Drosophila melanogaster: one gene and its partner. The protein of the gene in region 1 purifies or fractionates together with the protein of each later gene. This does not show direct contact. Each region holds a gene or a part of one and is shown in the gene's direction. Other genes may lie near its edges.

Region 1 (5,420 bases):
TTAAGCTAACATGTGTCCTAACCGGTTAAGCGAATTCTGTTACGGAATTTGGTTCGAGTCTGGGCTGCAGACTGTTGCATTTAATTTAAAAAAAACCTGATATAAAAAACGAAACAAATAAAATGACTTTGCCATCTCATAAAAACTATTATTCCAATTGATTAACAATACACTCTTTCAATTAAATTGCTCACGTCAGATATATAAATAATTTTATCTTAAGAAGGAGTACAGTTTTAAAGCCATTGTGCCCTGACTAAGCGCTTGAGCATTGGTTGAAAACTTGGCTAGTACCTGGATGTTCAAAAACAGAACTTTTAAAATCGAACATTTCTTTAGAATTTGTTTCTCTGTTAAATTGAAATGTTCATAAGAAGAATAAACCATAGTCTTCTGCAAAAACGTTTATGCTTTTAGATAATAATTTCCAAATTTGTTTTTTATATTTTTAATTATATATCCTTCTTTATTTACCAGTAAAAGCGCTATAAAAACTTATTTGTTAGTAAAACCGCCTCATCATTTTGTTACGCATCATTTCATATTGAATGAAAATTAAATGCAAAAAAAATCGGTCATGTCGACAGAATCCACCGAATCACAATATCATCCTTTTGCCTGTCACCTGTGCACCTTGGGTCACTCCACTGCTGCTCCTTGGCCCACTGACCCGGCTGTCAGTCAGCGAGATGACTCCAGCTGAAATTGCCCTGAAATCGCGTCCAAAAATCAATTTTCACAATTTGGAGCAACCATGTTCGTCGGCCTGGCAGAGATGGGCTGATAACTAAAGTGCAGGGCAGGAGTGCACAGGCAACTCGAAAAAAGCTTAAACACAAAGCTACATCAGTGATCCATCGCCTCGGGCGGCAGGACGATGTTGCAGCCCAGGAGACCGCGTCCACTCCACGTTTTCGGCACCAGGATGAGGTCCAACTGCTGCTCGCCGCGCTTCACTTTCAGCTGGACATTCTGGCTCTGCATGTTGCGCACCAGCTCGCCAATCTGGGCGAGATCTCCCTTGAAGTTGCCGCTATTGATGGAGCCAAAGCGGAGGATGGCATCGCCGGCACAGAGACCCTTAAATGGTAAAGATGGCCCATCTCAATGCTGTGATCTTCGCTTGTTTACTACATTCACTCACAGCTCTTTCGGCGGGCGAATCGGGACTGACCAGATTGACCACCACGATGGCGCGTGCAGGAGCAAGATCCGTGATATTAGCGCCACCGGGTGAACGGTCGCTGTCCAGGTCCAAAGCGGAGGCGCGGTTCACCAGCTCCGGATCTGTGGTGGCAATCTCGCTGTGATATTGGTTGAGCAGCGTCTGGATCTGGTTCATCAGCTCCTTGTGGTCGTTCTGCAGGCAGATGATCGTCTGTCGCGCCAGGCGCACCTGGTAAACGTCGATGTCGTTGCGCGGAAAACCCTCGGCGTCCACCAGTGGTCCACTCATGCCCACATTGTCGTTCTGGAAGGAAGATATCATTATCAATGCTATACAGCATAAACAAAAGAATGTACTCAAAATACAATTGTGTATATACCCTACACCAAAGCATAGGATAATGCTGTAATGCTTGCCCAAGTGGACATACCCTAACCAACAGTAGGGTATTGAATATATCAACATTTGGCTTGGCGGTCCGTCCAAGTTGAAGAACCTGCGATCATGAATATCCACGGTGGTGCGTCACCAACAGCTTGCCACAGTGTGCATACCCTATCCCGGATGCAGGGTATCCCCGGATGAGCAAGCGAATTTACTTACGGCGGCCAGGATCTGTCCGTTTCTGTTGATCTGCGCCTCCAGCTGCTTTTTAGCGTTAATCAGACGCTCCAGGCGCTCCTTGGTCGTCGTCCCAGCGGCCATGACTTCCACTTCGATTCGAGTTATTCCAGCGTTCGTCCCGAAAAATACAAATTTATTATTTTTCGTTAATGTTTTTTTTTTTCAGCAGCGACAGTAGCAACAACAACCAGTGCTCGTGCAGCCCTGGTTGCCCGCGACCAGTGTGACCGTATTGCGGCGAACTTACTTTGGCCAAAAACTAATTGTTAAACAATTTTTCGGAAGGGGAAAAGAACAAATTGAACGGCGAGAGTAAACACAGGAATTCACAAATTTCTATGAGAAACAGATCGCACGACGGTGAAACGAAAGGGGGGAACGCCTTTCCAGCGGACATCGCAGAATAGACGACGGGCGACGAGGGACCTCGAAAAATCGCACGGCAATCAATTCGAGTGTGTGCGAATTGATTACAAAAATAAAGGTATTTCGAGAGGTGAGCGATAAAAGCGCGTGTGTGCCTGGTGAGGATTAGGTGTAGCCATGAACTAACCAAACGTTTTGCAGCCACAGGCAACACAGGGACCACACCGTCCACTCCCATCCGCCGGAGTGGGGCTGCCACCTGCGATATGTGATCATTGGGGCTCCGCGGAGGTTTATGCAATGTTCTAGCTCTCGGCCAGTCGGAGGTAAAGCAGCCGGTGGAGCAGAAGCAGGAGGGGCAGGAGCAACAGGCCAGATGACTGTGACCACCATGGAGGCACAGGTCAAGGCAGCACACCATCATCATCTACATCATCCCACGGGCGGAGGGGCCCAGCACAAGGTGGAGGAGGAGGAGCCGGATCCTGTTGAGGACGAGATGACCGTACTGCTGGCCAATAAGAACTTTCACTATGACGTCGCCTCCGATCTGGACGACGACGCTTTTGTGGAGCTCAAAGAAGACACCGCCCAAGCGGATGATGCGGGCGCGGGCGTTGGCTTCTACAATCCGGATGAACTGCTGCTCGATGACCAGCCACATCCGCAAGTCACGTGGCTGGACGACGACGAGATCGAGACGCTCGATCGCGTGACGCTGGACATGGGTAATATGTTCTTCAATCGCGTCGACAGCCAGGACATCATCTATCAGCAGAAAAAGAAGAGCATTAAGATGGTGGGCAAGTACATAATGGGCGATGTTCTCGGCGAGGGATCGTACGGCAAGGTGAAGGAGGCCATGAACTCGGAGAACCTGTGCCGCCTGGCCGTCAAGATCCTGACTAAGCGGAAGTTGCGCCGGATTCCCAACGGCGAACAGAACGTAACGCGCGAGATCGCCTTGCTGAAGCAGCTGAAGCATCGACATGTCGTGGAGCTGGTCGATGTTTTGTACAACGAGGAGAAGCAGAAAATGTACTTGGTCATGGAGTACTGTGTCGGCGGGCTGCAGGAGATGATTGACTATCAGCCAGACAAGCGGATGCCGCTGTTTCAGGCGCACGGTTACTTCAAACAGCTAGTCGACGGCCTGGAGTACTTGCACAGCTGCCGGGTCATCCACAAGGATATCAAGCCAGGCAACCTGCTGCTCTCCCTGGATCAAACGCTGAAGATATCCGACTTCGGTGTGGCGGAGCAACTGGATCTGTTCGCACCTGACGACACATGCACGACGGGCCAAGGTTCTCCGGCCTTCCAGCCACCGGAGATTGCCAACGGACACGAGACGTTCGCCGGCTTCAAGGTGGACATCTGGTCCAGCGGAGTGACTCTGTAAGCCTTCCTTGTATAATATCATGTATTAAATGTATATACTGTACTAATCTAACGGATTTGCAGCTACAATTTGGCCACTGGACAGTATCCCTTCGAGGGCGACAATATCTACCGACTGCTGGAGAACATCGGGCGAGGTCAGTGGGAGGCGCCCGCGTGGCTATACGAAATGGACGCGGACTTTGCCAACCTGATTCTCGGCATGCTTCAGGCTGATCCCAGTAAACGCCTCTCTCTGCAGGAAATACGCCACGACACGTAAGTAGGAATATTCCTTGATTGCACTTCATGATAACTGATTGTTATAATCTGCTTTTAGTTGGTTCCGATCCGCACCGGTTAAGACCGGCCCACCGATACCCATTCCCCCCCTGAAGGGTGACAAATACCGCAACTCCACGGTGATACCTTACTTGGAAGCTTACCACTACGGCACCCAGGAGGAGGATGTCTACTTTACAGAACACGACGTAAATCGTACGTACCAACATCAATCTAATGCCGAGTGAACTACTTTCATGGTTACCTTTACAGAGGAGCTCGCCCGCCAAGCGGCAGCTGCTGCCTCCGAAATTCGGGCCAAACAGTCGGCGGCAGCCCTAGCCGCCTGCCACACCTACGAACCGCCCTCCACAAGTGCCGCAGCCGCCAGCAATTCGCTGGGCAACGGTAGCAGAGAGGAGGCGCCCGTCAAGAAGAAGGGATCGGCACTGAAGAGGCGCGCCAAGAAGCTGACGTCCTGCATCTCCGTGCGCAAGCTGAGCCACTGCCGAACTTCGTAGGCGCCTTAGATGCCTCCACTAAACATAGATGCTAAGATTTATCGAAAGGAATAACTTTGTTAACAAATTGTGAGCAACTTTTTGGTTTTGTTTTCCCGTTTTTATTCTGTTGTCCTACATTCGCCAAGTATTTGTAACCATAGAATCATGTAGGAAATTCAGGCGCAACCTCGTACCGCCCGAGCAGCAGGAGCAGCAGCGGTCGCATCAACAGCAGCAACAGCCCGCATCAGCGGAGTTGGCTGTGGAATTGGGGAGCTATGGGAGCGACACGAAAGCTATATATCCATGTGACAATACTGTGTATTATATGAAACAAATGAATGCGTAAATTAGTCGTTAATATATTATGATGTACTGAAGGCAGCCGAGGATTGCCGGAGGAGACGGTGCCCATTGGTGCGTCGCACACATAAAGAAATATGTTCAAGTGAAATTGTTTGTTGGCTTCGTTATATTCTAAACTACACACGACGAATGATGCGATTTTCAGGCGCCGTCGGTACAATAACTGCTGGACAGTATTTGCAAGGCCTAGGTTGAGATTTTAATTTTTACAAACCAATGAAACGAAAATAAAAGAACCCATTGAATATCAAAATACAAACACTGCATTTAGTTCGCACATTTCGCACATTCCAAATTCCACACTCAACACTCGCAGACGCTCCATTATTCCATGCACACACGCTCATGCTCACACTACAACATTAGGCTAGCTAACTACGTTTGCTTAATCTATTTCAACGATCTGCAGCCGGGCCGTCGGATCTGGCTCTGAGTCGCCCTCCATCAGCTCGCCCATGATGAACATCTGATGGTAGTGGGGGCCCAGGGTGGACAGCTTACGCTGCATTAGGTGGCGCAACGGGTCCACATATTGCGGCGGCACCTTGGCCAGCTGTGTATTCGTGTTGCGCCAGTGCAGCCCGTTGTTGTCCACGTGAAACAGCGCCGGCGAGGGCACGTGATCTTTAAGATAGTTCCAGATGCACTCGCGCAGCAGCAGGGCAATCTGGAAATGTCATACATTAGTTGGTGCTACTACACAGTTTGGGCAAATAATGGATCTACCTCTG
Region 2 (4,751 bases), on another chromosome or scaffold:
TGAAGGGTTTCTGGATCACCCTTGAATGGCATAATGTCTTTAAGCTGCCGACGGGCTTCGGCAAGGTTTATGTCGCTCAGCGCAATAATTGGTTGTGACATTTTTATTGTAAAATTTTTAACTTTTGTGTTTTATTTTTTTGTTTTGTTTCGGATTCAATGTTATTATTATTTTTAAGCTTTCTAGTTTCACTTGTTTTTTTTTTTTGTTTTGTAAATTTTTGTGTTGTATTATTAAAATTCTATATTGTTTTAATTTTTTATTTTTATATGTTGGTTTTAAAACTTAGTTGCCTTTGGACTTAATATTTTTGTTTCGTATTTCACTTCCACTTATTATTGGATAACCGAATTGGAATTATAATCCAAGTTGAAGAGTTTTCACGAATTTATTTTGGGAGATGTTTCGAGCACTGGACTATAAAATTTAACTTATTTTCCACTCGAAGGTTCTTTTTTTTCGGATACTTTTGTATCCTACCGACTGCGCCAGTAAAATTGTTGTTTTATTTATGAGTCGAACTAATGTCCCGTCAGTTGACTAAGGACAACGCCAAGAAATAAAAAATAGTTTTTAGGAGAAATAGTTTCACGACTTTATTCTTTGGATCTCAGCTTAAGACTAAAAATCAAATGCAAATTGGATTGAGGAGAAGCCTCAGTATTTGAACAATATTTGTATTTCGGGAGAGCCTCGCTCTTGGGTTCTTAAGATTAGGTAGCGTTGAAAGAGGGCAGTCAAATCTGCTTAGGTCAGGCTTTAGGATGTTTACAAGAACGGCTGCGCTGCCAAAGATAAACGAATGCTGCGCAGCTGGGATACGTTATGGAAAATTACTAGAGTGCATTACTGATTTCTTTGAAATAATGGAAGTGGCTGGTTTGGACCACCCAAATACGTCACTATATGTCTATGATCATGATCTATATGTGCTCGGCGTAACCATTGCATACACAGTAGCGAAGCCCAAAGATATTATTATTAACTAACTACAACTACTACTACTCAAATTGATATGTTTAGTGGCAAAGACTATATTGATTTATGTTTAATCTATGTTCGAGAACGAAGCGCATCGAAATGCTTTTAAGACGTATTACACAACCAACTGTAATTATTATCTGATATTTTCAAAGATTTTAAACAACTTTTATACGTAAACAAAAATCACATAAAAATTAAAAAAAAACAACAAAAACGAAACGAAAAACATTTATTTCAAAATAAACGAATCGAGACAGTGAGGCGTGGGGCAGTCTGCGATAATATGCAGGGCGGTCAAACCTACAGATATAATTACAAATATTGATGTGCATACAATAAACTTATGCCTTTCCCTACAACCCGAAAAGTCCTCTTCCTTGGCCCGGAATCGAAAAAAATGTCAAAAAAGAAACAAAAATGGGCCAACACAGCTGGCGAGGCGAAAGCGAAAAGTTGCCAGCATATACACAAATATATTTCTGTAACTTCTATAATACACCAAGCGCCTGATAAGCGCTAAAGAATAATATCTAAAACGAAAACGGATCAAAAACAAAGTACTTCAATGAGAAATAAAACGATATTTAAAGAATTCAAACTACCATGTTCTAACGGGATGAATTGGGCGTTGGGTATTTATATTTTGAAACCTATAAACTTATATTCGTATTAAATACCAATGTATTATTATTTGTTATTTCGCCTTTCTAGGGCGAAATAACAAAGACAATGCTTTTTTCCCTTTTCAGATTACCCTTTTATAGAAAAGCAACAAAAAATTAATCTGTAATTAATTTTATATAATATTGATTTTACGGCTATAAACAAAAGTTTGTCAACAAGTTTACAATTTTCGAATCTTTAATGTTTATATTAATATTATAAAGCCATAAAAGGATTGGTAATTTTTTAATTTAAAATTCAATTTTAGTGTTGTGCTTAGCTAACGAGCCTTTACAACACTGCCCGCCAGCAATGCGATACTTGTATCGAGCCGTCGTCTATCGAAACGTCGGCCAATCGAAATTGTTCATCCCTGGAAGAAGACAAGAAAAAAATAATATATAATAATAGAATATTCCACCGTGATAATATTGCCAAGCATTGTTTTCCGCGTCTTTGCCGTCGGTAATTGGGCAACAGTCAGAACGACCAAAAAGCCGAAGGGCCCCGAACAGCAGGATAATCGGCAGAAAGTACGAGGCATCATCGACAGGCCAACTAAACCACAACGACAACCACATCCGCAGTCAAATCCCAATCCAAATCCACGTCCAAATCCCATTTCGAGTGAAACAGCGAGTGAGACAGCGAAATGCCACTGTTCGGGAAGTCACAGAAGTCGCCAGTGGAGCTGGTCAAGTCGCTGAAGGAGGCGATCAACGCCCTGGAGGCGGGCGACCGCAAGGTGGAGAAGGCGCAGGAGGACGTCAGCAAGAACCTGGTCTCGATCAAGAACATGCTGTACGGTAGCAGCGATGCCGAGCCGCCGGCGGACTACGTGGTGGCCCAGCTGTCCCAGGAGCTGTACAACAGCAACCTGCTGCTGCTGCTCATCCAGAACCTGCACCGCATCGATTTCGAGGGCAAGAAGCATGTGGCGCTCATTTTCAATAATGTGCTGCGCCGCCAGATTGGCACCCGTTCGCCCACCGTCGAGTATATATGCACGAAGCCGGAGATCCTGTTCACCCTGATGGCCGGCTACGAAGATGCGCATCCGGAGATCGCACTGAACTCCGGTACCATGCTGAGGGAGTGCGCCCGGTACGAGGCGCTGGCCAAGATCATGCTGCACTCGGATGAGTTCTTCAAGTTCTTCCGCTACGTGGAGGTTTCCACCTTTGACATTGCCAGCGATGCCTTTTCTACGTTCAAGGAGCTGCTCACGCGCCATAAGCTGCTGTGCGCGGAGTTTCTGGACGCCAACTACGACAAGTTCTTCTCGCAGCACTACCAGCGCCTGCTCAACTCGGAGAACTATGTGACGCGGCGTCAGAGCTTGAAGCTGCTTGGGGAACTGCTGCTGGACCGGCACAATTTCACCGTGATGACGCGCTACATATCCGAGCCGGAGAACCTCAAGCTAATGATGAACATGCTCAAGGAAAAGTCGCGCAACATTCAGTTCGAGGCGTTTCACGTCTTCAAGGTGTTCGTGGCCAATCCCAACAAGCCGAAGCCCATTCTGGACATCCTGCTGCGCAACCAGACGAAGCTGGTCGACTTTCTGACCAACTTCCATACGGATCGCTCCGAGGACGAGCAGTTCAACGACGAGAAGGCCTATCTGATCAAGCAGATAAAGGAGCTGAAGCCGCTGCCCGAGGCTTAGTTGGACCTCCACCTCGGCTCCAACTTCAGCTCCAACTCCAGCTCCAGCGTCCCGGGGGCAAAAGGACCGTAGCCAGAAGCCAGAAGCGATCGATACGGAAGCAGAGAGAGCGATGGTGGGTTAGCAGGATGTGAACATGTTTTGTGTGTGGGTTAAAGCAAATATATATTATATACTATATTTTGTGACGCTGATGACTCTACACTTGTGAGTAACTAAACAATAATTTAGACAACAACAAAAACAACACTGATGATGATAATGATAAAAATAACGATAAAGCGAATTAGAAAACAAGAAAAAGTACGAGTAAATAGCGTAACGCCGAAAAATAAAACTGTACCGAGAGTTTCGAATTTAACATAGCCACATTTAGACATTCTGGGCCTAGAGATCCGCTATCCTATTATACAGATATGTTTAACCATTCGTCGATCCTCCGCGAAGTAATCCCCCTTCCTTTCCAGACCCTTTTTTTCGATATCCATTTAACTAGTTGTTGTATTTAAAATTTGATCGTTTTTGAAACGAGATATCCCTTCACCGCCTTGACCTGCCACGCCCCTTTTGCGCCCCAAAAAAAAAAAACTGAAGATTCACAATGAGTTTTGACTTAAAAATGTAATTCCACGCAAAATTCATGAAAAGAACGAAAACTAAATACTGCATAAAAATAATAATAATTCATAGTGATAATTGTCTGTGCATCCTTCGGCATGGACTCTACTATATATACACTGATATATATATATAGAAAGAGCAAGAGAAAGAAAAAGAGAGAGAAAGCATTCAACACACACACACACTACACACATGCATACGTACATAGTTAAAAGGGAAGTAAAACAAGAAACAACAACATTGCAAGCAACATAATAACTATACGATTATTATAATTTATATTATTCCCAAATTAAAGATAACAGCCAAACAAATCAGCAGTTTTTCCACTGTGGGCGGTGGTTTTCTCAGGGGGCGTGCAGCTCCCCCCTGAGTCATGTGCAAAAAATCGTGCCAGGGCGGCAACCTCACCCAAAAAACGTCGATCAAGGGCTGGGGAGATGATTCACACGCTGGGAATGCCACCGAAACCAAAAGAGATTTCAAATCACGTTTCAAGGTGTGCCTAAATGAGTAAATGAGTCCATTCCAGGACTCAGCCTGCTGTAGGAATCCCATGAAGGAGTTTTCAAATGTGTGCAGGCTTCTACTTTAATCGTTGTCGACTAGGTTTTATTACAATTATCTTAATAAATGAATTCGAGAGTTCTTAGGCTAGCTACATATGTATATATTAAGGATGGCTACATCTATCGTCGCTTCTTCTTCTCCAGCTTACGAATCTTGTGCAGGCGCGTCCGGACCGGCTCGCCCTCCCGCTCCGTCACTTCGCCGGACTCCGGATTACTTTGGCCATCCGGGTTATTCTCCA

Evidence for each region.
Region 2: the proteins of Lkb1 (region 1) and Mo25 purify together in Drosophila melanogaster (affinity purification with western blotting; 2 studies listed by BioGRID, with this or other methods). This does not show direct contact.

The regions. Positions count from the first base shown.
Region 1 is NT_033777.3:13,674,657-13,680,076, forward strand, and holds Lkb1 (Lkb1 kinase), read left to right. Parts: upstream 1-1,892; 5' UTR 1,893-2,288; intron 2,289-2,359; 5' UTR 2,360-2,453; coding exon 2,454-3,556; intron 3,557-3,622; coding exon 3,623-3,817; intron 3,818-3,878; coding exon 3,879-4,036; intron 4,037-4,093; coding exon 4,094-4,341; 3' UTR 4,342-4,410; exon of another isoform or gene 4,411-4,484; 3' UTR 4,485-4,774; downstream 4,775-5,420. Other genes in the region: CG9588 (uncharacterized protein), read right to left, coding at 847-1,080, 1,145-1,471, 1,772-1,873; omd (oocyte maintenance defects), read right to left, coding at 5,075-5,356, 5,416-5,420.
Region 2 is NT_037436.4:16,612,718-16,617,468, reverse strand, and holds Mo25 (Mo25), read left to right. Parts: upstream 1-1,996; 5' UTR 1,997-2,299; coding exon 2,300-3,319; 3' UTR 3,320-4,251; downstream 4,252-4,751. Other genes in the region: CG4101 (uncharacterized protein), read right to left, coding at 4,630-4,751.